Ovis aries: one gene and its partners. The protein of the gene in region 1 purifies or fractionates together with the protein of each later gene. This does not show direct contact. Links are inferred from orthologs where the notes say so. Each region holds a gene or a part of one and is shown in the gene's direction. Other genes may lie near its edges.

The links.
Region 2: the proteins of NUP153 (region 1) and KPNA2 purify together in Homo sapiens (co-immunoprecipitation; 4 studies listed by BioGRID and IntAct, counting the BioPlex papers as one, with this or other methods). This does not show direct contact. The link is inferred for Ovis aries from reciprocal best matches to the Homo sapiens genes NUP153 and KPNA2.
Region 3: the proteins of NUP153 (region 1) and TNPO1 purify together in Homo sapiens (co-immunoprecipitation; 3 studies listed by BioGRID and IntAct, with this or other methods). This does not show direct contact. The link is inferred for Ovis aries from reciprocal best matches to the Homo sapiens genes NUP153 and TNPO1.
Region 4: the proteins of NUP153 (region 1) and NUP133 purify together in Homo sapiens (co-immunoprecipitation; 3 studies listed by BioGRID and IntAct, with this or other methods). This does not show direct contact. The link is inferred for Ovis aries from reciprocal best matches to the Homo sapiens genes NUP153 and NUP133.
Region 5: the proteins of NUP153 (region 1) and NUP50 purify together in Homo sapiens (affinity purification with mass spectrometry; 8 studies listed by BioGRID and IntAct, counting the BioPlex papers as one, with this or other methods). This does not show direct contact. The link is inferred for Ovis aries from reciprocal best matches to the Homo sapiens genes NUP153 and NUP50.
Region 6: the proteins of NUP153 (region 1) and KPNA1 purify together in Homo sapiens (affinity purification with mass spectrometry; 3 studies listed by BioGRID and IntAct, with this or other methods). This does not show direct contact. The link is inferred for Ovis aries from reciprocal best matches to the Homo sapiens genes NUP153 and KPNA1.

The regions. Positions count from the first base shown.
Region 1 is NC_056073.1:39,060,132-39,063,631, forward strand, and holds part of NUP153 (nuclear pore complex protein Nup153), read left to right. Parts: intron 1-252; coding exon 253-873; intron 874-3,500. UniProt on the Homo sapiens protein: Component of the nuclear pore complex (NPC), a complex required for the trafficking across the nuclear envelope. Functions as a scaffolding element in the nuclear phase of the NPC essential for normal nucleocytoplasmic transport of proteins and mRNAs.
Region 2 is NC_056064.1:48,653,715-48,657,936, reverse strand, and holds the start of KPNA2 (importin subunit alpha-1), read left to right. Parts: upstream 1-1,422; 5' UTR 1,423-1,524; intron 1,525-3,130; 5' UTR 3,131-3,153; coding exon 3,154-3,228; intron 3,229-3,377; coding exon 3,378-3,515; intron 3,516-4,222.
Region 3 is NC_056069.1:8,882,645-8,886,144, reverse strand, and holds part of TNPO1 (transportin-1), read left to right. Parts: intron 1-1,594; coding exon 1,595-1,655; intron 1,656-2,497; coding exon 2,498-2,666; intron 2,667-3,500. UniProt on the Homo sapiens protein: Functions in nuclear protein import as nuclear transport receptor. Serves as receptor for nuclear localization signals (NLS) in cargo substrates.
Region 4 is NC_056078.1:1,017,453-1,020,952, reverse strand, and holds part of NUP133 (nuclear pore complex protein Nup133), read left to right. Parts: intron 1-363; coding exon 364-467; intron 468-1,592; coding exon 1,593-1,700; intron 1,701-3,500. UniProt on the Homo sapiens protein: Involved in poly(A)+ RNA transport. Involved in nephrogenesis.
Region 5 is NC_056056.1:221,496,523-221,500,022, forward strand, and holds part of NUP50 (nuclear pore complex protein Nup50), read left to right. Parts: intron 1-7; coding exon 8-89; intron 90-1,509; coding exon 1,510-1,628; intron 1,629-2,480; coding exon 2,481-2,683; 3' UTR 2,684-3,500. UniProt on the Homo sapiens protein: Component of the nuclear pore complex that has a direct role in nuclear protein import. Actively displaces NLSs from importin-alpha, and facilitates disassembly of the importin-alpha:beta-cargo complex and importin recycling.
Region 6 is NC_056054.1:187,775,848-187,780,132, reverse strand, and holds the start of KPNA1 (importin subunit alpha-5), read left to right. Parts: upstream 1-1,485; 5' UTR 1,486-1,552; intron 1,553-1,877; exon of another isoform or gene 1,878-2,005; intron 2,006-4,285. UniProt on the Homo sapiens protein: Functions in nuclear protein import as an adapter protein for nuclear receptor KPNB1. Binds specifically and directly to substrates containing either a simple or bipartite NLS motif.

The DNA.
Region 1 (3,500 bases):
ATTAAGGTAAAAAATGTTTTCTCCCAGGAATAATATTACTAACAGCTATAAGCATATCACATTATTGGGTTGGCTGAAAAGTTTGTTTTGGGTTTTTCTGTAAGATCTTACGGAAAAAACCCAAATGAACTTTTTGTCCAGCCCAATATTAATTAATGTTATTAATATTTATTAACAGTAAACAGGGAGACATTCTAATCAAAACATTAACTAATTTTTCCCCTCCCACCCACCTCTTCCCCCCGGTTGTAGGTTTTGCATCACCGAAGGCAGATTCTCTTGCTGCTCAACCTGCCACCACAAGCCCGGTAGTTCACACAAGACCAGCAATAAGCAGCTTTTCTTCTAGTGGAACTGGGTTTGGGGAAGGTTTAAAAGCTGGGTCGTCATGGCAGTGTGATACTTGTCTACTCCAGAACAAAGTCACAGACAACAAATGCGTAGCCTGCCAAACAACAAAATTGCTACCAAAAGATTCTGCTAAACAGACTGCAACCGGGACACCAAGTAAAAGCGGCAAACTGACTGTTTCCACACCAGGGACGACAGGCTTCGGAGACAAATTTAAACCAGCAGTAGGAACTTGGGATTGTGATACCTGTTTAGTGCAGAATAAACCTGAAGCGATAAAATGTGTAGCTTGTGAAACACCGAAACCGGGAACTGGTGTTAAGCGAGTCCTTACGTTGCCAGCGGCTTCAGAAAGCGCTGTAACTGTGGCTGCTTCCTCCTCCAGCTGCACTGTGACCACTGGTGCCTTAGGATTTGCAGATAAATTCAAAAGGCCCGTGGGATCTTGGGAGTGTCCAGTGTGCTGTGTTTCTAATAATGCAGAAGACAATAAGTGTGTGTCCTGTATGTCTGAGAAACCAGGTACGTTTATGGCTGTTTGGAATAATTTTGTTCATTACTTTAATAGAACATTTTAATTCTATTCTCTGTAAACCAGCGAAGAACAAACCTCAGTATTTTAGATGTTTCAGGACAAGCATTTCCTCCTGTGTCAATAATTTTCCAAACTGTCTTGAGATGAAAATGACTTGCCTGGAACTGACACTGCACGTTCTCTTAACCTAGGTTGTGTGTTAATCAGTCCAGCATTTGCTTTGACCTCTTCTTTGTGTGCACTTTTATTAGAAACTTCTGGCTCTTCGTGATCTATTCAAAGTTGGCTGATACAGATGCAAAGGTCTTAGAACGGAGCACTCTTTCTCAGACCTTTACACAGAATAAAATACTACTCTGTCTCTTTTTCTCAAAGAGGAAGTGAGGATGGCTAGCGGTCATTTCCACAGCTAGTTTCATTAAGGAGTAGACAGTATTGTGTTATCAGAAGAGTGTGGCTGAGCACTAATGATGATACCTATACCTGTATGTGCTATCTGCCAGAGACCCTGCAATGATCATAAATTATTAAATCGTTAATGAAAAAGTACTATTGGGCAGACAGAAAAATGGAGCTAGAGTTGAATTTTTCCTGTTTCTCTGTTCAATTTTGAAAGAGTTACTGAAGATTTACACTGATCTTTAATTCATTTGGAATTAATTCATTTGACTCTTTGATGTTTTTGTAATGCTATTATATAATTCTTTGGTACAGATACATGGTAACATAGATACTAAATAAAACATGTTATAAGTGTCCTGGGAATTATACTTCCTATTCTTATTGCATTATTGATGGATGCGTGGTTTTGTGTCTACAGTGAAAAGCTCTTCATAGCCTAGAACCCTATCCTAACACAAGGGGTGTGCTGTATTTCTTGATTCCTGCTAGACATCTCTACAGGAGTAAGATTTCAGAGTCTTTATTCTGAAATATCTTTCTCTTCCCATCTGTCATCCTCATTGTCCCTTTAACAAAAAAAGCTGTTGATGGATGTCTGAGAGCAAAATTAATTGAGTTGATGGGTCAAACTTGTACTTTTGTTCAATCATCTGGTGGCTTTTTGGAGGATGGATTTGAAGGCAACAAAATTTGGAGACCAGAGCACAGATTAGGAAGTTGATCAATAATATGGATAGAGATAGTGGTGATATGTACTAATGAAATCAAATGGAGGGGGATAGAATAATGTATTGAGTTGAAGATACATTAAGTTCAAGCTGCTGAAGTTGACAGATATGTGTGAGAAGACTTTTTAAGATATAAAACTGATTATAGACACTCTGGACTGGAGACACAGATTTGGGAATCATTCACTCATAATTTTCAAATAAATGATGAGAGAAGAGGTGATGTAAGGTGAGTGAGTGGAGCAAACAGAGAGGATAGCCTAAAACTGAATTCTGCTTAGCTTAAGAGAGTAGCAAGAATAGAACTTTGAAACAGTTAATTGAGAGGAAAGACAAGAACCAAACAAGAACCATGTAATACTGGTTGCTTCTTACGAGGATGGGTTTCAAGGGAACCAAACCAGAAGTCTCAATAAGGCTGTCCACTAGAAGAGCAGCAGAAGGGTCCGAGGAAGGAATGAAACAGATTGCAGAGATACATCAGGAGGAGTTGTCTTCTCCCCAGGCCAGCCAGGTGCGTAGTGGAACGCCCATCAAAGAGGTAGTACAGCACTGACGCCCGGAAGTATGGGTCTTGGGTGCTAATGGGAAAGATTTTGTTGGTGATTAAAATCATCAGGGTAGATGAGACCTTGTGAGAGGGCAGTGGACCAAAGACGGTAGGATTTTATTGGCAAAGTGGAAGAGAACATAACGATAAAAACCACAGAGCAGGTAACTGGGAGAAGTGACAACAGCCGGAGGACGTTGAGAGAAGTGGGGCTTCCAGAGCGAATGGCTTTACTTGCAACCCTGCATTTCTTCACGCAGCTGCGCCTTACTGAGCCGTCCCTCCTATGCTGCTGCCTCTCCTCACGAAATTGCTACGTCTGCTTAAAAGTGTAAATAGGACCTCTGTGAATCCTCCTGTCTCGTAGTAGTGTCTTCTCTGTGCGCTTATTTAGATCGTTTGTCATTCCATCTTGGCGATGGTGGTACTATGCATTTATGTTTGTTTTACTTTCCCCTTTTTAGACCAGAAGCACCTTTAGAATCGACACTTTACTCATCTTAATATTCCCAGAACCTAAGAACATTACAGTGCTTAATCAATGTCTGTTAAATGGCTGCGTTTTAACCGAAATGCCTTGAACATAGTAGGTCACGTCTACTTGAGTTGCAACACTTCTGTGCAGAAATGGTCATTTCAGAGTCAGAGATCTGTGCTTTGGAATCTTGAAATTAATATGGCCATGACTGTGTATTTTATGTGTTAGGCTCTTCCCTACGATTTATAACTTATATTTTATAATCTGTGATGCTTAACAAAATTTGACAAACATTATTAAGGAAAATTTAGTCTTTTATGCCCTGATCTGTGAGCATCAGTTTAAAAAACAAAACAAAACATGGCTATTCAACCTTGGGGTTAAGAGGACACTCAACAGTGAGCAAGGTGAGTGTGAGTTGCTCATTTATAAGACTAAAAGAAATCTGAGATGTCT
Region 2 (4,222 bases), on another chromosome or scaffold:
TGGATTTCCAGGATTCACATCTCTCAGTTGAGAACAGAGCCTGCTTTCCTACCTCTCATCATTAAACAAAAGGTATCCGGCTTCTCAACTGAATGAATTTAGGTCACATGACTGCCCCTGAACCATTCACAGTAGCCTGGAGAATACCATGTAGTGACTGGTTTAGAGGTGAAATCCCACAACCTTGTGCATTTAGGGGGGGTAAGATTATCCTGATTGGTTATGTGGAAGTAGAAGGAACCTCCATGACTCTCATTACTGTTACACAATGAGTGAGGCTGGCAAAAATGCCTGCAGGAGGGACAAAGTTCATTGTTTGAATCATAGTAAAAAAAGAAAAAGCCAATACAGCTTTTCTTAAAAATACCCTTCTCAGGATACAGAAAAGCTGCGAAAAGAAAGTGGACCATAATCCTGAGGTTCTGATGACTATCACTGAAGCTTTTTTTAAATTACAAGAAAATGCAAACATTTTATTTGAAATATATAAAATATAGCATAGATCATTACTATAACAATTGATGATCTGAACACAGAATAAATAATCGCATATAAGTTCAATTGTCTTGAATTTGATGATTATGGTGTGGTAATATAACAGAATGTCCTTATTCTTACAACATACAAGCTGAAATATTTAGGGGTAAACGGACAAGATTTCTCAAACTTACTCTCAAATGGTTCAAAAAGTAATATGTAAAAGCCATGTATATATAAATAGAGGTACACGTGCATGTGTGTATACATATATATATACATACACATCAAAATAGTAAATTAACATTTAACAAATATGGATAAAGATTTGCAGTTCTTTTGTATTTCAAATTATTAAAAATAAGACTGGAGAAGCAGGCATTAATAAAGCTTTTGTTAACATAGTTCTGCCTTCTATGCAGTCTTTTATGACACAAGTTAAAAACAGTAACTAACAAATGCAGCACATATCTGCCTTATCCCTCCCCTGCTTGATGTCCAGAGACCCCGGCAAAGTTCTTTCTGAGTCCCATCGGGAAAAATGCATAGCAATATATTTCTTTATTAAGATTTTTAAAGAGAATTATTTTGGGAATCATTTGTGGTACTTAGTTAAGGCAAACACTCAGGAAAACGACCAGCCACCACACCGCGGTAAACCCATGCAAAGAGCTGACCCTCCGACCAAGATGGACAGGGAACCGGCCCTGCGCGCTGCATGCCGGGATCTGGAGTTTTTCTTCTCCGCACTGCAAGGCTCTCAGGGATCGCGCGGCCGCTCCCTTATCTCGCGATGCTATCCTATCTACTTCTGGGCCCTCTGACCCCTCCCCAGCTAACGTGTTTTTCAAATCCACCAATGGGCGTATAGCGTAAGCTCGAACCAGCCAATCGGAATGCGGAGCCACCGGGAAATTTAAATCGCGCCGGCCGGCTGCACGAGCCACACCGTCCTCGGGCTGACCGTGGTAGACGTTTGGAGGCAGTAGATCCCGCAGCTTGTGCGCCGCGCACAGCCTCCGGTGGACGCTTGAGCTTGCTGTGTAGGTAACGAACTGAGGTCGCAGTGCAGGTGGAGCGACAAAGGCTGGTCCTTAGGCCGCTCTTGGATTGCTGGAGGCGGGAGGGGAGTCCCGGGGTAGACGCCCGGCCAGGCTTCGGCCTCTCTGGTCGATGAGGCCTTGGGGGCGTAGTTCGTTGACGAAACGGGTGTTTCACTGTGGATGCGAGTGCATGGGCTTTAGTGCCCGAGGCCTTGCGAACCGCTGCAATCGCCTTTGAGTAAGAATTATTAGAGTCAGGCCCGAGAACGAAAGCCTCGGTAGGGGGCCCGACGCCTCTGGCTCCTCCTCCGCGGGTTCCCGCTGCTGCTTCCCCGAAATGGGGGTGGGGAAGGGGGTAGGGGAGGGGACTGCAGATGGAGGTGGCAGTTGGAAGTGCTATCTCTTAATTTGTAGGCCCTGGGTTGGCTGTGTCACGATTTCGTAAAAGAACAGAATGGAATTAAAGATAGCCACTTTGAAGGAGGACTTTTGTGATTTTTTTGGGAGATTGCTCTTAAGTAGGTGAGTTTGAGTGGAACGCAGCTGATAGAGCCTAATTTAGTGCATTCACTCAGAATTTCTGGAAATGAAAACGTGCGAGATGCTGAACTGCGTCGCAGGTGTTCAGGGTGGGCAGGAAATTTTATGAAAGTTTACATAATGTTAACGACGAATCAGATTTTTAAATATTTTCAAACGTGCAGAATGTATCTGTTTGGGCCGTTTAAAGCCAGTAGAGCCTCGGAGAAGGCAATGGCACCCCACTTCAGTACTCCTGCCTGGAAAATACCATGGACGGAGTAGCCTGGTGGGCTGCAGTCCATGGGGTCGCTGAGAGTCGGACATGACTGGGCGACTTCACTTTCACTTTCATGCATTGGAGAAGGAAATGGCAACCCACTCCAGTGTTCTTGCCTGGAGAATCGCAGGGACGGGGGAGCCTGGTGGGCTGCCGTCTATGGGGTCGCACAGAATCGGACACGACTGAAGCGACCTAGCAGCAGCAGCAGAGCCTCCAGATCTGAATTTGTGGCCCGTACGACATAGATTTTAACTGTAACCTTATATCCCGTACGTTGTCTTCAGTTAACTATTCATGGATCCTATATAGAGTCTAGAGCCATGCTGTGCAGTGTGATAGTCACCAAAGGCGTGTGGCTAGTCTAAACTGAGTTAATGCTGTAAGCTTAAAGTACCTGCAAGATCTCGAAGAATTAGTATGAAAAAAGAATGCAAAATAGTTCAGTAATTTTTTTGATGTAATGTGTTGAAGTGAGAAAATAGATATTGGAGTAAATAAAATATATTATTGAAGTTAATTTCATTTGTTCCTTTTTGCTTTTAACAATCGTGGCTACTAGGAAGCTTAAATTTATACAGCTTGCATTATATTTCTGATGGACAGCACTGCTCCTGGAAGCCTCAGCCCTTCAGAGGGGAGGGGCCAAATATAATTTGGCCAAAACTCATGTTCCATAGTGCTGAAAAAGGAAGTTCCTCCTCTAGTATGGAAATACGGATTGAACGTGTATTTGATAATTCCCTTAATGCTATGTTATTGCCAAACAAAGTGATAAAAAGGAAATTTTTTTCTCTCCCCTATCTTGCAGCTTTCTCCCTTTGTCTCATAATCATGTCCACCAATGAGAATGCTAATTCACCAGCTCCCCGCCTTCACAGATTCAAGAACAAGGGGAAAGACAGTACAGTGAGTACCTTCTGTTGTTTTTCTAGTATTTTTTAAATGGTAAGGTATTTGGAAAGAGCGTCCACACTTTGAGTGAATTTAAAAAGTTGTCTTCACTTGGCACCTAACACTGATGTAATAGGTGAGATGATACGTTATCTTTTCTCAAGGAAATGAGGCGGCGCCGAATAGAAGTGAATGTGGAGCTAAGGAAAGCTAAGAAGGATGACCAGATGCTGAAAAGGAGAAATGTCAGCTCTTTTCCTGATGATGCTACTTCTCCACTGCAGGAAAACCGCAACAACCAGGTGAGGATATTTTAGTTTATGAGTTATGGTAAACCCAGAAAATCAATATGAGGCCTTTCTGAGATATTTAAATAACATGTCTTAGCTTTGTGGGTTTTAACTATCAAATGTGAAGATCTGTCTTTGTGTGCTCCTGTTCAGTAATTCTGATGGATTATCTTCCCCCCGCCCATCCTCTGTAATCTGTGGAAGCTGATTCCAAGGTTGTCTTTAGCTCTGATCTCCCCTTCAAGTTTCCCTGCTTTTCCAGTTGCCAGCTTTTACTTTGAGTTGGCCATTCAAGTGTTCAGTGAAAGTATGTCCAGAACCAACTTTTTTTTTTTCCTGCCTTTTTTTTTCTTTCTCTCCCTTTCCCTTCCTCCCTCCCTCTCTTTTTTTTGTAGTTGTCACCAGCTTTTTTCAGGTCTTTTTCCTCAGCTGTCTCTTGATTTTCTTTCTGTGCCACTTACTGTTTACCTAAAAGTTTTCTTAAAATACTGCTTAAAACATCTTAGAAATTTTATGATTCTAAATCCTTTTTAAAAGGTTTTTTGGAAATTAGACCCATCCTAGAGTTCTACTCATGGAGACTTCGTGATTTTATCAGAAGTCAGGGAAAGTTGCTCAGTTGTGTCCAACTCTTTGCGACCGCATGGACGATACAGTCCATGGAAGCCAGAATACTCTAGTGGGTAGTCATGCTCTTCTCCGGGGATCTTCCCAACCCA
Region 3 (3,500 bases), on another chromosome or scaffold:
CATTTGCTCCTTTTTGCCGCGTGTGTGTCTTTGGAGAAATGTCTATTTAGATCTTCCACGTTTTGATTGGGTTGTTTTTGTCTTTTTTTTTTTTTTGAGCTGCATGAGCTATTTGTGTGTTTTAGAGATTAAGTCCTTGTTGTGTGCTTTGTTTTATGGTTTCCTTTGCTGTACGGAAGCATTTTAAAGTTTAATTAGGTCCCATTTGTTTGTTTTTGTTATTTTCATTATTCTAGGAGGTGGATCAGAAAAGATCATGCTGCAGTTTATGTCAGTGTTCTACCTATGCTTTCCTCTGAGTTTTATAGTGTCTGGTCTTAAATTTAGGTCTTTAATCCATTTTGTTTATTTTTGTGTATAGTGTTAGAGAGTGTTTAATTTTATTCTTTTACATGTATAGCTGTCCACTTTTCCTGGCACCACTTAACTGAAGACACTTTTCTGCATTGTATATTCTTGTCATCTTTGTCATGGATTAGGTGACCATAGATACATGGGCTTATCTCTGGACTTACTATCCTGTCTGACTGAAATATATTTCTATTTATGTGCCAGTACCATACTATTTTGATTATTGTAGTATTGTAGTATAGTCTGAAGTCAGGGAGCCTGATTCCTCCAACTTTGTTTTCTTTCTCAAGATTGCTCTGGCTATTCAGGGTCTTTTGCGTTTTCATACAAATAATGAGATTATTTGTTCTAGTTCTGTGGAAAATATTATTGGTAATTTGATAGGGATTGCAGTGAATCTGTAGGTAGCTTTAGTGGTATAGTCATTTTGACAGTAGTGATTCTTCTAATCAAAGAATATGGGATAACTCTCCGTCTGTGTCATTCTTTTATTTCTTTCATCAGTATCTTATAGTTTTCTGAATACTGGTCTTTCGCATCCTTGAGTAGGTTTATTCTTAGGTATTATTCTTTTTGATGTAATGGTAAATGGGATTATTTCCTTAATTTCTCTTTCTGATCTTTTGCTGTTGGTATATAGGAATGCATCCTTTTTTACCTGATTGCTGTGGCTAGGAATCTCATTGTCTTTAATACAAATGGATATGAGCTTTTTATGTATTTTGCACTGGTGGTTTTTTGTTTTCCCAACTTCACTGTCATGTGTTTCTTCATGACTGTGCATCCAAAAATAAAGTCCTTACAGGATCTTAGTTCCCCAACCAGGAATTAAAACCCGGCCCCTACAGTGAACGTACAGAGTTCTAACCACTAGACTGCTGGGAAATTCCCAGTTGTAACTTGTTTTTAACCAGGCCCTTACTGACGAACATTTAGATTGTTTGCATTGTTCTTAGTGTTGCATCATGGAACATCAGTCTTTAAGAATTGGGAATGTTCGTTCATGTATTAAGCACTCTTGACAAGCTGTCTTGTCCACTCTAAAGTTCCATCCAGTAGATTCTGTGCATGAGTATGTAAGAGGCCTAAGATGCATATTGGGAGTACTCATCATTGGAGAAGGGCAGACATAGAATATGCTATAAGGCAGTGTTAACAGTAGTGGTGGTATTATTAGTATTCATGAGGTTGTTGAGACCTTGAGATCTTTAGATCTTTGTTTCATGAATTTCTGTCTTTATAGGTTGATCCCTGTGTTAGTGAATGGCATGAAGTATTCAGATATAGACATTATCCTACTTAAGGTAAGGAAACTATTCCCTGATGAATAAGGATGTTTATTTTCACTGACTTACAGATCTTTGAATTTGACTAATAGGACATTTATTTAGAGTAGGCTCTATTTAAATAGGCTTTCTGTTATGTAATATGCTATGGAGTTAAAGATAGAAGCAAACATAATGAATTTGACTGGCAGTAGATTCTAGCTTAATTGAAACTAACTAGATGGTGACACTAGTAGAGTTAGCGTGAATTTCCTGTTAATTCTGACTGTTTGGGGTTCATTTTAAAATAATCTTAAAATATGTTCTGAATTTAATTCAGATACTCTAGATTATACCAGATGTTGGGAAACCATCTTATGTGGTTCAGAATCCCTGATAATCTATCATGGGTTATGTGATAGCCTATTCTTCCCCTTCACAAAGAGCTATTTTCTACGTAGGGGCAAGCAGAAGATGTATACAGCTGACCCTTGAACAATGGGATATTAGGGGCACTGACCTCCAGTGCAATCAAAAATCCCTGTATAACTTCACAGTTGGCCCTTCCTGTCCATGGTTCCATATCTGCAAATTCAACCACAGATTATGTAGTCATCTAATACTTCATTTACTGGAGAGAAATCTGCATCCTGTTTGAACTGGACATGCAGTTCACTCCCATACTGTTCAAGCATCAACTGTATTTCAGAATCATGTCACGCTATCTGTTGGCCTGCAGGTCAAACCCATACTGTTCAAGCATCAGCCATATTTCAGAATCATATGTCATGCTCTCTGTGAATATTCTCATTCTTTTACCCATATACATACTATTAACTTATATGAATATAACCAGAATTTTCCTTTTAAAAAATACACAGGGTGATGTTGAAGAAGATGAAACAATTCCTGATAGTGAGCAAGATATCAGGCCACGGTTTCATCGATCAAGGACAGTGGCTCAGCAGCATGATGAAGATGGAATTGAAGAGGAGGAGGACGACGACGATGAAATTGATGACGATGACACGATTTCTGACTGGAATCTAAGTAAGTCAGAGAGAGAAGCACAGTCGCCTGCTTGGATAACAGTTTAGTTGAGAAATAACTCACATCCTACAGTGCCCTCATACACAGTTCACTTAACCATACAAAAGAATACAATTTAGTGGTTTTCCGTGTATTCACAGAGTTGTGCAACCATCATCTCAGTAAATTTTGAAACATTTTTGTCACCCTAAGAGAAACTACATACTTAGTAGTCACTCCCATATTCTGAGCTCCTCTGGACATTTTCTATAAGTGGAATCATACAAAAGTGGTCTTTGTGACTGATTCATCTGTTCATTAGCAGATGGACATTTTCTTTCCCCTCTTTGGCCGCTGTCAGTAGTCGTGCTGAACAGTTAACGTAAGGTGTATGTGGTCCTAAGTTTTCAGTTCTCTTGGGTATATACCCAGGAATAGGATTACTGGATCGCATGGAAACTTTTATGTTCAATATTTTGAGGTACTGCCAGACTATTTTTCACACTTACTTTGCTGTTTGCTTTCCCCCAGCAGTGTCTTAAGGGCTACAGGTTCTCCACATGTTTGCCAGTAATTTTTGAGTGTCTTCTTCTGGGTGTGAAGTAATGATCTTACTGTGGCTTTGTTTTGTTTCTTCCTGATGGGTCTGTTCTTCATTTGCTTGTCATGATATTCCTTCTCAAAGTGTTTTGTTGGATGCAGAATGTATGTTTGATGCAAAATACATACGAAATAGGAACATTGGCCGTGGCTTTTCCTGTTTTCGTAACTTTTTTTTTTGTATGTCATAATTTGCATGAGGATTGGTTGATTATCATGCATATTTCTAAGATAATGTAAATCCCTTTCTCATCC
Region 4 (3,500 bases), on another chromosome or scaffold:
TTATGTATTTAATGAGGGGGTTTATTATTTGTGTTGCTTTATCAAAATAAAATTATGAATTTTACTAAATATTATAAAAAGTAAGATAAATTTATAACAAAAAAGAAATATTAAACCTAAGACCAGAACATAGTTTTTACCTTTCAATATATTTATAAGAGTGGTTGTCAAACCACTCTTACTTTAGATATTAATAACTCTTGAATTATTCAAGAGTATTTTTTGTTGTGAGTTAATCTTGTGTGTGTGGTGGTTACTGTTTTGAGTGAAGAGTATGGCAGTAAGAAAGATTTTGGTATGAGAAATTTTTGCAGTTTTAATTCATACTGTAAGATTAATTATGTACTTTGTTTTTTTCTTCAGTTGATGATCAGCTGACTGTTCACATAGATGAAGGTGGATGGGCTTGTCTGGTCTGCAAAGAGAAACTCATTATTTGGAAGATTGCTCTGTCACCTATCACTAAGGTAATGATTCTTTAAAGAGCTGGAGGGGGAGAGAGGAGAAAATTCCTAATTGGCTCTGAATTTTTACCCTAACTTTTTAGAGTTGTTGGAAATCTGTAATTTGAATCGACTCAAGCATTATAGATTGCATTTTTATAGTAATATGAAATACCAAGCATGCATACACATTTGTGTATTGGGAAAAAAGTCTCTCTCCTTATCATGATTTTAAACAAGATATACTTTATTTACATTTAATAAAGTTAAAGACATTGACATTTTTAATGAGTGTCTTGCTAGTCACTCTGCAGTGAAGTCTAAGACTAAATGCCATCCACAGAAACTAATGAACCGAGTTCCTAAGAGGACAGGAGCGTGTTGCACTGAATCTACTGAATCACGTGTAAGAAATAGGAGAGAATTATACCAAGTTTTATAATGCTGTTTAACTCTTCATTGTCAGCTTTTCACACGGGGGCTCTCGTTTGTATGTTCACTGCTGGACTCTCAGCAGCCTCTTTCTGTCCACTCCAGATCAGGCATGCTCTCTTGCAGTACTCATGCTCACGGGGCCTCTGTTCCACTGGGACTCAGGCTCCAACTTACCTAAACTCTTCGTGTGTACTGGTCTCTGTACACCTGCTGTCTAGAAAACCATGTTTGTAGTTAGGAGCATAGGTGAGGGAGAGGTCCTGCAGTGGCATCCTGAGTTAGCAGAGGAAGCCTGATATTGGCTGAGTCTCAGAAATATTTTCTAGGCAACTTTGAATACTTACTCTAGTCATGCCAATTTTAAATGTCAACTCAACAAACCAAGATTAGACTGGGAAAATTCCATAGGAAGTCTACACAGTTCTTTCAACAATGGACTTTTTTTTGGTCTGGGAAGAGATTGGAGTAGTTTCTGTTAAGGGTCTGGTCTAGCTGTTAAGTTTTCCTGACTCTCTATCTCTTAAAATATTTTGTTTTAAAATTAGTGAAAATGACGATGGAAGCCTGATCAAAAAGATGTAAGAAGAAAGTATTTCTAGAATAGTATTTCTAGCAGTGAATTAGAATCTAAAGTATGCAGAGAAAGTGAAGTCAGGTGCATGTTCAAAAATTGGATTTGAAATGAGAAATTTTTTGTTTGGATTTGTTTTATAGTTATCTGTTTGCAAAGAACTTCAGCTGCCACCTAGTGATTTCCACTGGAGTGCCAACTTGGTGGCTCTCTCTTATTCTGCTACCTCAGGCGAAGCACATTCTACTCAGGTGGGTGACTTAAGTGCTTACTGAAGTAGATTTTTTTTAAGATAAGGGAGTTCTGAAGTTGGGGGAATCACCCAGTTGGGTTTTGAAACATAGCTGTAAAGCCGCAGAAATCAAGACAGAATGGTCATGGCAGAGGTAGACGCACGGGGCAGTGGACCAGAGCAGTGTACACATACGCCCCACACAGAGATGGTGCACGGATCTTCAACAGGGGTGCAGAAGAAATTCAGTGAAGCGAGGATGGTCTTCTCAATAAATGGTGTTGGAATCATTGACCATCTTTGGGAAGAAAAAAAAATTCCTCCTAAACCTCATGTAAAGATGAACCCCAAATGGATCATAGGTCTAAATGTAAATTGTAAAACTAAAAACTTTTAGAAGAAAACAGGAAAAAAATCATCATGACATGGGGTTAGTTGAAGAGTTCTTAGAAATCACCAAAAATGTGACTCATAAAAGAAGAAAAATCGATAAACTGGACTTAATCAAAATTTGAAACTTGGCTTTGCCAAGTCTTAGTTGCCCTGAGAAGAAAATGAAGACAGAGCTACAGATTGGTAGGAAATACTATAAATCAAATGTCCAATAAAGGACTTGTACCCAGAACATAAAATGAACTCTCAAAACTTGGTAAGAAAACAAACAACCCAGTTTAAAAAGTAAGGCATAGGACTTGAACACTTTACCAAAGAGAATATAAGGATGTCACATAAGCGGTGAAGAGACATTCACATCGTTAGCCGTTAGGGGGATGCAAGTAAAACAGTGAGATACCAGGTCACTCTTATCACAGTGGCTGCAGTTAAAAGCACTGACTGCAACGGCTGGTAAGGATGTGGAGCAGCTGGAACCTCGTACGTTGCTGACAGGCATGCAGAATGGTGCAGCCACTGATTCTCACTTTCTTAGAAAGTTAAAGTGCCCTTGACATATGACCCAACAGTTCCATTCCTGGCTGTTTATTTTAGAGAAATTAAAGCTTTTGTTCACACACAAAACAGTACACTAATGTCATAGCACCTTTATTTCTGATAGCCAAAGGTGAAAACAATCTGAATATCCTTTAGCAAGTGAACGGATAAATAAACTGATTCTTTCATAGGATGAGATACTGCTCAGCAGTAAAAAGACATGAGCTGTTGATCCATGAAACAGCATCGGTGAATCTCAGAGGCATTGTGCTAAATGAGATAAACCATTGTCGAAAGGTTCTGTTCTATATGATTCCGTTTGTTTGGCGTTCTCAGAAAGACAGAACTATAATGATGGAAATGGGGATTGCCAGGGGGGAGGGGAGGGGAGGCTGTGACCAAAGGGAAAGCGTTATGGGGCTTTGGTGCTGATGGACTCTCCTATATCCTGTTTGTGGTGGGACTTACAGGAGTCTAGAAGTGAAAGTTTTAGTCAGTTAGTCATGTCTGACTCTCTGTGACCCCATGGACTGTAGCCACCGGGCTCCTCTGTCCATGGAATTCTCCAGGCAAGAATACTGCAGTGGGTTGCCATTCCCTTCTCCAGGGGATCTTCCCAACCCAGGGATTGAACTTGGGTCTCCCACATTGCAGGTAGATCCTTTACCATCTGACCCACCGTGCGTTTCAAAATTCATAGGACTGTAAAAAGCGAAACATTTTGTACGATCTGAAGAGAAGCCAGAGTATAAAAGTTCATAGAATTATTAAACAGGAGGAGAAAATGTCAGTTTTACTGTATGATGATTCTTTAAATATGGAAAAAAAGAATTTTCCCCCTGATTTCTGTTCATGAGTAATGCATTGCCCTGGTTTCTGTATGTCAGTG
Region 5 (3,500 bases), on another chromosome or scaffold:
ACAAAAGGTGGAGATGAAGAAGAGAATGACGAGCCACCAAAAGTAGTAGTTACTGAAGTAAAAGAAGACGATGCTTTTTACTCCAAAAAGTAAGTAGTAGTCACAGCAACCCGCTTGATGAATTTATTTTCAGAGACGTGGAAACAAGCTTCTGGCTGGAGCGCATGGGCAACATCATTCCTGCTGAGTTTACCAGGCACCCCTCCTGGGGTCAGGCTGTGCCTGCTCCCAGAATTGGGACAAAGGAAGAATTCTGGGCCTGTTTATTTAAAAATAATATGATCTTTAAATTTCCTGCTGGGCGAAGCCTGCTCTTTTATGTTAGTTTAGCTCTTTCAGCTTTTCAGGTGCTTTAGAAATTCTTTTCTGTCCTCATCTCTTACCTCATCGTTCTCTCCCTTTTTCTCCTTCCCTTCTTCCCTTCCTTTCCCTGCAGAGATAGTCATCTAAGTCAGTGATTCTAGATTTGGCTTTACTTTACTCTGTCTTCCCCCAGGGATGCAAGCTGGTTTGTCGTGTAGGGGGATTTTGTTTAATGCGAGTTGCTGCTTTCAGAAAAAGGCTGAAGGGAAATTTTTGGTTATCTCTCAGTGAAATGAAATTAGTGCTTTTTAACAAAGATTTTACTGAAAAACATTTGTGCCCTTAAAGCTTCCCTTGGATATGTTTTTCTAATACAAAAATTTCAGACTTAGTAAGTCAGCAGTTTTCATAGTATAAATCACCAAATCCCATTGGATTTCAAATGTTTATTTTTGAGAACTTTTAAAAAGAGACCAATTCCTTTTGCCTGTTTTAAAATAATTACACTGATGGTATAAGGGAATGACCCTGACTAAGGGCATTTTTTGCTTGTTTTGAATGAGGTTTTTTTGGTTTTTGTTTTGCCACTCCTCAAGGCTTGTGGGATCTTAATTTCCTGACCAGGGATTGAACTCTGGCCCCAGCAGTGGAAGTGCCGAGTCCTAACCACTGGACCACAGAGACTCTAACCCAAGGTTTTTTTCTAGTCATAGTGAATCAAAGGAACAGGCAGTGGTTTTGACTTGTTTAATAATGACCAATGGAGATGAAAGAGTCCTGAAGAAAATTCAAAAATAAGAACTAGGGAAAAGGTGAGGGGGAGGGGCAGAGTGTTTGTCCTGTATGTCCCTGTTCTTTAAGCACCAGGGGCAGCTCTTGAGCTCAGGACCAATACATCCAGGAGCTGTAAGGTGCTTGGCAGTGATTTTTGCCTGACCTGAGAAAGGATAGTTTCAGAAACCATTGTGAAGAATTGTATCAGGCCTGCTGTGTAATAGTGAGAAAAAAGGTGGGACTGTAGGCTGTCTCATCAGACTCTTACCTGCCTTGTGTGCAGACCTGATTTGGGTCAACAGAAGACTACCCAGCTCCCTCTGCTGTATTTGCTAACTGGCTTCCACACAGGCATGAGCAGGGGCTGTTGGAAAATCGTGTGGCTTTCGTGACATGTCACTGAGTGATCATGTCGATTATTTTTCTCCTTAGGTGTAAACTGTTTTACAAGAAAGAAAATGAATTTAAAGAGAAGGGTGTGGGCACTCTGCATTTAAAACCTACAGCGAATCAGAAGACACAGCTGTTAGTGCGGGCAGACACCAATTTAGGTGAGTGGCTTTTTCTTCAGGTGGCACAAAATAATCATAATTACACGGTACATAGAAGCTCTCTTCCTTGCTGATTTTAGTCTTCAAGATTTTCAAGTATGTTGATGTGTGTTTTGGAATAGAATAGAGATTGTTCAGGACAAATTCATCCTGTATGACACATTACTTACAGATTTATTTGAATGCTGGGGTGATAGTGCAGAAGGAAAACTCGATGTATTAGAAAGCTGCTGCCAAGGAAGTAACAAAATGTTTTCATTTTCCTTTGTGCTAGAACTGTGACTAAGAAACTGTAGGTAAATTGGACGGTTTAGTTAACTCTCCAGGAGAATTAACCTTGTAAAGAGATCCTTTTTATGTAGCAAAAAATCATTAACTCGTTGTTGTCCACCCTCCAGCTTTACCATTAACAGTCCTCTGAAAGGAGGGGGTAGTGCCCGGGTGGGGGTTCTGAGGGGAAGTGGTCGGGGTTGCCAGGCGACACCAGACTGTGTTCCTGAAACAGACTCCTGTGAAGCTCCTTTCTTTCATGTGGGCTCAGCTGACCTGTGGTGCAGTCACAGTGCGCTCACTCTTGCCTGTGAGCGTGCTGCCCCCTGTGACAGAGCCATTTCCCAGCTGACCACTCTTTGGGGAGAAGGCCTCGGTGGGGCCGAGTCCACGTCCTGCCAGAAGCCCCGTGCTCCTCTCTTGGGGACCCCATACTGTCAGGGAACCAGGCCCTTTTTGTGACGTTCCTGTGGCTCCGTGTTAAGTATGCATTGCATGATTGTTTAATGTTTAGCCTATTAAAGGTGTAGTCTCATGGAAAGTAGTTTATTTTGATGCATTTTTCCCTTTGTTTCAATGCAGGCAACATACTGCTCAACATCCTGATTGCACCCAGCATGCCATGCACCCGCACAGGGAAGAACAACGTGCTCGTCGTCTGCGTTCCGAACCCGCCCGTCGATGAGAAGAACGCCGCCACCCCCGTCCCCATGTTGATCCGGGTGAAGACAAGCGAGGACGCGGATGAGCTGCACAGAATCCTGCTGGAGAAGAAGGGTGCCTGAGCATGCCCACCGAGGAGTGGCTGCCACGCTGCTGCTTCCCCTAGCGCCCCTGAGCTTAGTCAGTTTTCTTCTCTTCTTACTTTGACGTTCTAGGACTTAGAGATAACTTAAAACTTTTGTGGGGAACATTAATATTAAAAGGCCAATAAAACCTTCAATGTTAAGTGTTAAGAAACTGCATTCTCCCTTCTTAAGAACTGTCTAATGTGTAAAATACATTTGAAAGAAAAATTTTGGAAGATTTTTAACATTCATTTATTAAACTAACCACAAGTGATTTCTTAATGGACTGAAATCAGGGTATCGATTAGATTTCCCAAAGGCTTTTCTGATCCAGGGCTTGGGGTCTGCTGCCAGCATCTGCGCAGCCGCTCGTCCTCCAGTGAGCGTGGCTGCTGTGGGGTGGACCTGCTGCCGCGCTGTGGCCGAGGTGCTCCCCTGTGCTTTGTCATGTTACTTTACAGCTGGAACGTTTGCCTTCAGCAGTGGAGTCCTCAGCCGTTTTCGTGTGGACGCTGGCCTCTAACCCTACAGGCTGCTTTACTAGGATTCCAGAGCTGCTTTTTCATTTTAAGAGGAAATGAGTAGCTTGTTGTTTGGTTTTGTAGGTTCCTTCATGAGGTGCTCTTACTTCTGTATCCCCCTAGAGACGAAAGAGATGGGGGGCTTGCCAGGAAAGAGGTTGAAAAGCACAAATTTGGTAGTTTGTAGACCACAGACAGTGGTCACAACCCTTATAGAAAAAAGGGTTAAACCGTACAACAAAAGGGAAAGAATATGCTCTTAGTTAATTGTACCGTGATGAACCCTATGGATC
Region 6 (4,285 bases), on another chromosome or scaffold:
CTGTTCTCCAGGGGATCTTCCCAACCCAGGGATTGAACTAAGGTCTCCCACATTGCATACACATTCTTTACCAGCAGAGCCACCAGGGAAGCCCAGGAATACTGGAGTGGGTAGCCTATCCCTTCTCCAGCAGATCTTCCTGCCCCAGGAATCAAACAGGGGTCTCCTGCATTGCAGGAGGATTCTTTACCAACTGAGCTATCAGAGAAGCCCTGAAAAGGAAGAGTGGCCCTAGTAAATACTTCAGATTGGTCAGGACCCACATGGGATACCCCAACTAGAAGAAAGGGTGAACTGGAAAGAAACTAGTTTTCACAGACCCTAAAGTCCAGCTCTGAATAATATTAATATTAGCTCCTGATTGGAATAAAGTGATCTGTCCTTAGCTCAGTGGTGGTGAGCTAAGTCATGTCTGACTCTTTTGCAACCCCGTGGCCAAGTCTCCCCCTTAGAACACATTCCCTTTCACCAGGGCCCTTGATCGAACTCAACACATCCTAGAAAACACACTTTAGTGGGAAACACTGATGTGGCAGAAAGACATCCAGGACAAATGAACACTGCATCGTATGGTCCTCTCTCCCGCTCTAATGTTACAGAGTTATCCCATTTCTTCCACCCTGCTTCTCCGTGTGTGTTTTAGGTTGATTTGATAAACCGTTATATGTGAGACTTTATATTCTGTGACCTCTGCTTGGCTGCCTTCAGTCTTTCTTTAGAAGCCACTGCTCAAAAAGAATCCCCCAAAGAGAATTCCGTCAAATTTAACAGTAAATTATTTGCCCCAAATTTTCGTTGGAGAACATTTGTTGAGAGTAAAGCCAGCGTTCATGTTTCGTTTAATTCCTTAATGAATTCTGATACTGCTCAGTGCATTACCAGGCAAAGCGGGACGGGACAGAACCAAATATGATATAGCCCGAAGTTTTCTCAAACGTGCTGCACGTGAACGCCTGAGCCATGAGGCGCTGACTTATAACTCTTGTAAAAATCCCTCAGCCTTCATTCATTCCATCAACGTGTTCTAGTTAACAACCGTGTCAGTGGCTAGCTATAGACAGGTGAGCGAAGATCGACCTGCCGCCCTGGAAGAACTTCGAAGACAAAACATAACTTTGCAATTCAGCCTAAGAACTACCGTTTCATTGTCACTCCAGCATGACTCTCCAACCCTTGTCATTAACTGCCCACCTTCTCAATCGGACCTTCTCCCGGACTCCAGACTCTCTCCACTGGTTCCCAGCTAACCGCCAGAGCCTCCAGAGAACAAGCTGAAAGACTACATCTCCCGGCAGCCTCTGCAGCAGAGTGGTGGAGAGGAACGCGCAAGTGCGCGGCCCGGCCCCCGCGCGCAGGCGCACTGCGAACGCCGGCTGAGCTAGGTCTCGCTGTGCTGGGTGCGCGGCGGCGGAGGCGACGAGCGAGGCCTGGTGAGCACCGCGCGGCGAGAGCCGACTCTTTCGAGGTTGTGTGTAGAAGACGGACGGCAGGCGAGCGAGCGAGGCAGAGGCTCACCCCAGAAGTGGCACCGGGATCGGTTGCCTTGAACCTGGTGAGTGCGGGGCTGTGGCGGCCCCCGACCCCTCCCCCTCCCGCCGGCCGATCCGGCAGTCCTCGGCGGGACCCAGGAGAGGCCCCGCGGCGAGGGCCGGCCGCCGCCTGTGCTCGAGCTCGGGTTCCTGGGCCTGGGCACTCGCGGCGCGTCCGTGCGTCACGGGCCCGGTTGTCCTAACGGCCGCGCGGCAGGCGGAGGGGACGGTGGGGGTGGGGAGCGCTGGTGTGTTCGCCATCGGGAACGCCGGTGGAGGCGAGGCGGGGCGGGGCGGGGCGGGGTGGCGCGGCAGCCGGGCTGTAAGCGGCGCCGGGGACTGCGGGGCGCAGAGGCTGCGGGGCGGCGAGGAGGCAGCGCGGAGCCGAGCAGGCAGCGCGGAGCCAGCGCCGCGGCCCCACGCAGACGGGCGTGGGGGCGGGGGTGGGCTGCGCAGAGTGTGCGTGACTGAGCCAGGTGAGAATAGGGGATGGGGGTGTGTGTAAAAACCCTAACTGAGGCAGTAGGGAACGGTCTGGTCTCGGAAATTGTCAAGTTTCAGCCAGAGCCGGAGGTTCGGGGGAAGGGGCAGGGGAGTGGAGACGGCCGACTGCAGTTTACAGATGTCATAACAACATGGGCCTGAAGCGGCTGACAGGGGTGTGGTAATTATAGGAATGACAGAACTTAGTCTGCACACAGCGTGTGTCAGTGGTGATGCGAGAGAAGCTCAAAATGGGAGGAGAGGACTGAAGGATGACTGGAGTCCGGGAAGCCGTCATGAAGGAATGTTTTCGGTTTGAATGGAAGTATTTAATGTTCGGCTTCTAAGCAAACGATGTCAAGATAATTGATTTTTAAGGTTTAAATTCTGAATAAACAGTTTGGAAGTAATTTTTCTAAGCATACTATTAAATAACATTTCTAACTTTTCAGTCCTCTTTTCCTTTAATAAACACTTCCTTAAAAACCTGTTTCTTAACAGTAGATGAGTAAGTGATGTTTCCCTTCATGTTACTTCAAGGCTCATTATTTTTTTTTTTTTATTTTTTTTTTTTTCAAGGCTCATTATTGACATTTTCCCCTTGTTCTTGCGTTTGTAATATTTTGAAAGTAATTCACAAGCTATTCCCCTTCCATTTTAAAGATTGAAGAGATGAAATTTTAACTTCAAAGGAAAGGAAGGATGAACTCTGTTGTACTTTTACTGAAATAGTTTATTCTTTGATGGCACTGTTGTGTTTAACACGGGGTTTTCAGTTGGAGAACTTGAGAGAAGTTAAAGGGGTAACGTTTAATGAACTTTTTTCCAGATACTGTGCTAAATACTTTCTGTAGAGTAAAAGGTTTAATGCTTACAGTAACTTTGAAGTGTGTTATTTTTTTCCTTTTCTACAGATTAAAGCTTTGAGGGTTAGAGAAGTTAAGTAACTTACCTAGGTGTTGCAGCTCTTGTTAGAACAGAATCACTGACATTTTAGGAATTATTTCTCCTCTCCTTTCATACTTCTTGGTTGTGTTTTCTTTTTTTGGTCCATTCATATGCTCAGAGACTGGGGATGTGGACATGATCAAGACATTGTTCCTGTCCTCATGGAATTTGTAGTGTTGCAGAGAAGACTAATAGATAAAGACTATAAATATTGACTGCGTAAAATTTTATCGGTCATTATAATTGAGCGGGAGCTGTACTAAAAAGCAAAGGAAGTTCAAATGGAATCAAACAACGCAAGCCTTGAGTGTTTACAGTCTGGTAGAGAAGCAAAACATGCATTTATGAAAACCTAGACTAAGCTAAATGATAGAAATTAACACATCACCAGTGTACTTGCATTATGTTACTTTAGATCCTTATAGAAATTCCTTCACAGAACTGTGAATTAATATTTTGTACTTTAACTTTTATCTAGGATTGGGACATGAGAAAGGGAACATGAAAAAACTCTTCCTTGCTACCCAAGACACTGTTTATAATTTATTTACTGATCCTTATAAAGTATAAACCTTAAAGACGGGTTCTTTTAAGCCCTCAGTGACAGGCCTTTTTGATTTTTTTCTTTGCTTTACAAAAAAATTTAAACAAATGACTCTTTTTATTAGATCATTTCTATTCGTAAGCCATCCTGTTTGTCTTTATACTTTGGCTATTAGGAGGCTCAGAGCTGTGATCAGCTTTGGTAATTTTCATAATTTTCCTTTGCTTTAACTGTGTTATAAACTATACCAGATAGTCTGGAATTGCTGCTCTCAGTTGTTTCCTGGACTACTTGTTCTCTGTTGCTCTCAATTTTATTTTTACCTTTTCCCTCTCATTTGAGAGTAGGGTTTATTTATTTTATCTGCAGTATGTTAGCATAATGTTTGTTGAATTAATGATAAAGTCTTGATGGTTTATGAATTTGTTTTTAAGTCTGTCATTGTTTATAGAAGTATGTGTGCTTTGTATAAAATCAGTTAAGACTTTTGGCCATGCAAGTAAAGGTGACTGACATAAAGATAATTCCCTGTTAGATAAAGATAATTCCCTGTTACTCTCTTTAAGGTTTCTGTATTTTGCAGGGTATTCTGAATTCAGCCATAATAATGGAAGAAAACATTGAAAATGGTAAACAATTCAATTAGCTGATTGGAGCTGATTTCACTCTATTCTTGCTGCAGTAAGCAGGAGGTGGCCCCAAGCCAGCTGGGAGCCAGATAGGACCTTCATTAGAAAATTTTTAAGTCTTTGCAGTGACAGAGCAGGAATGAAGACTGATG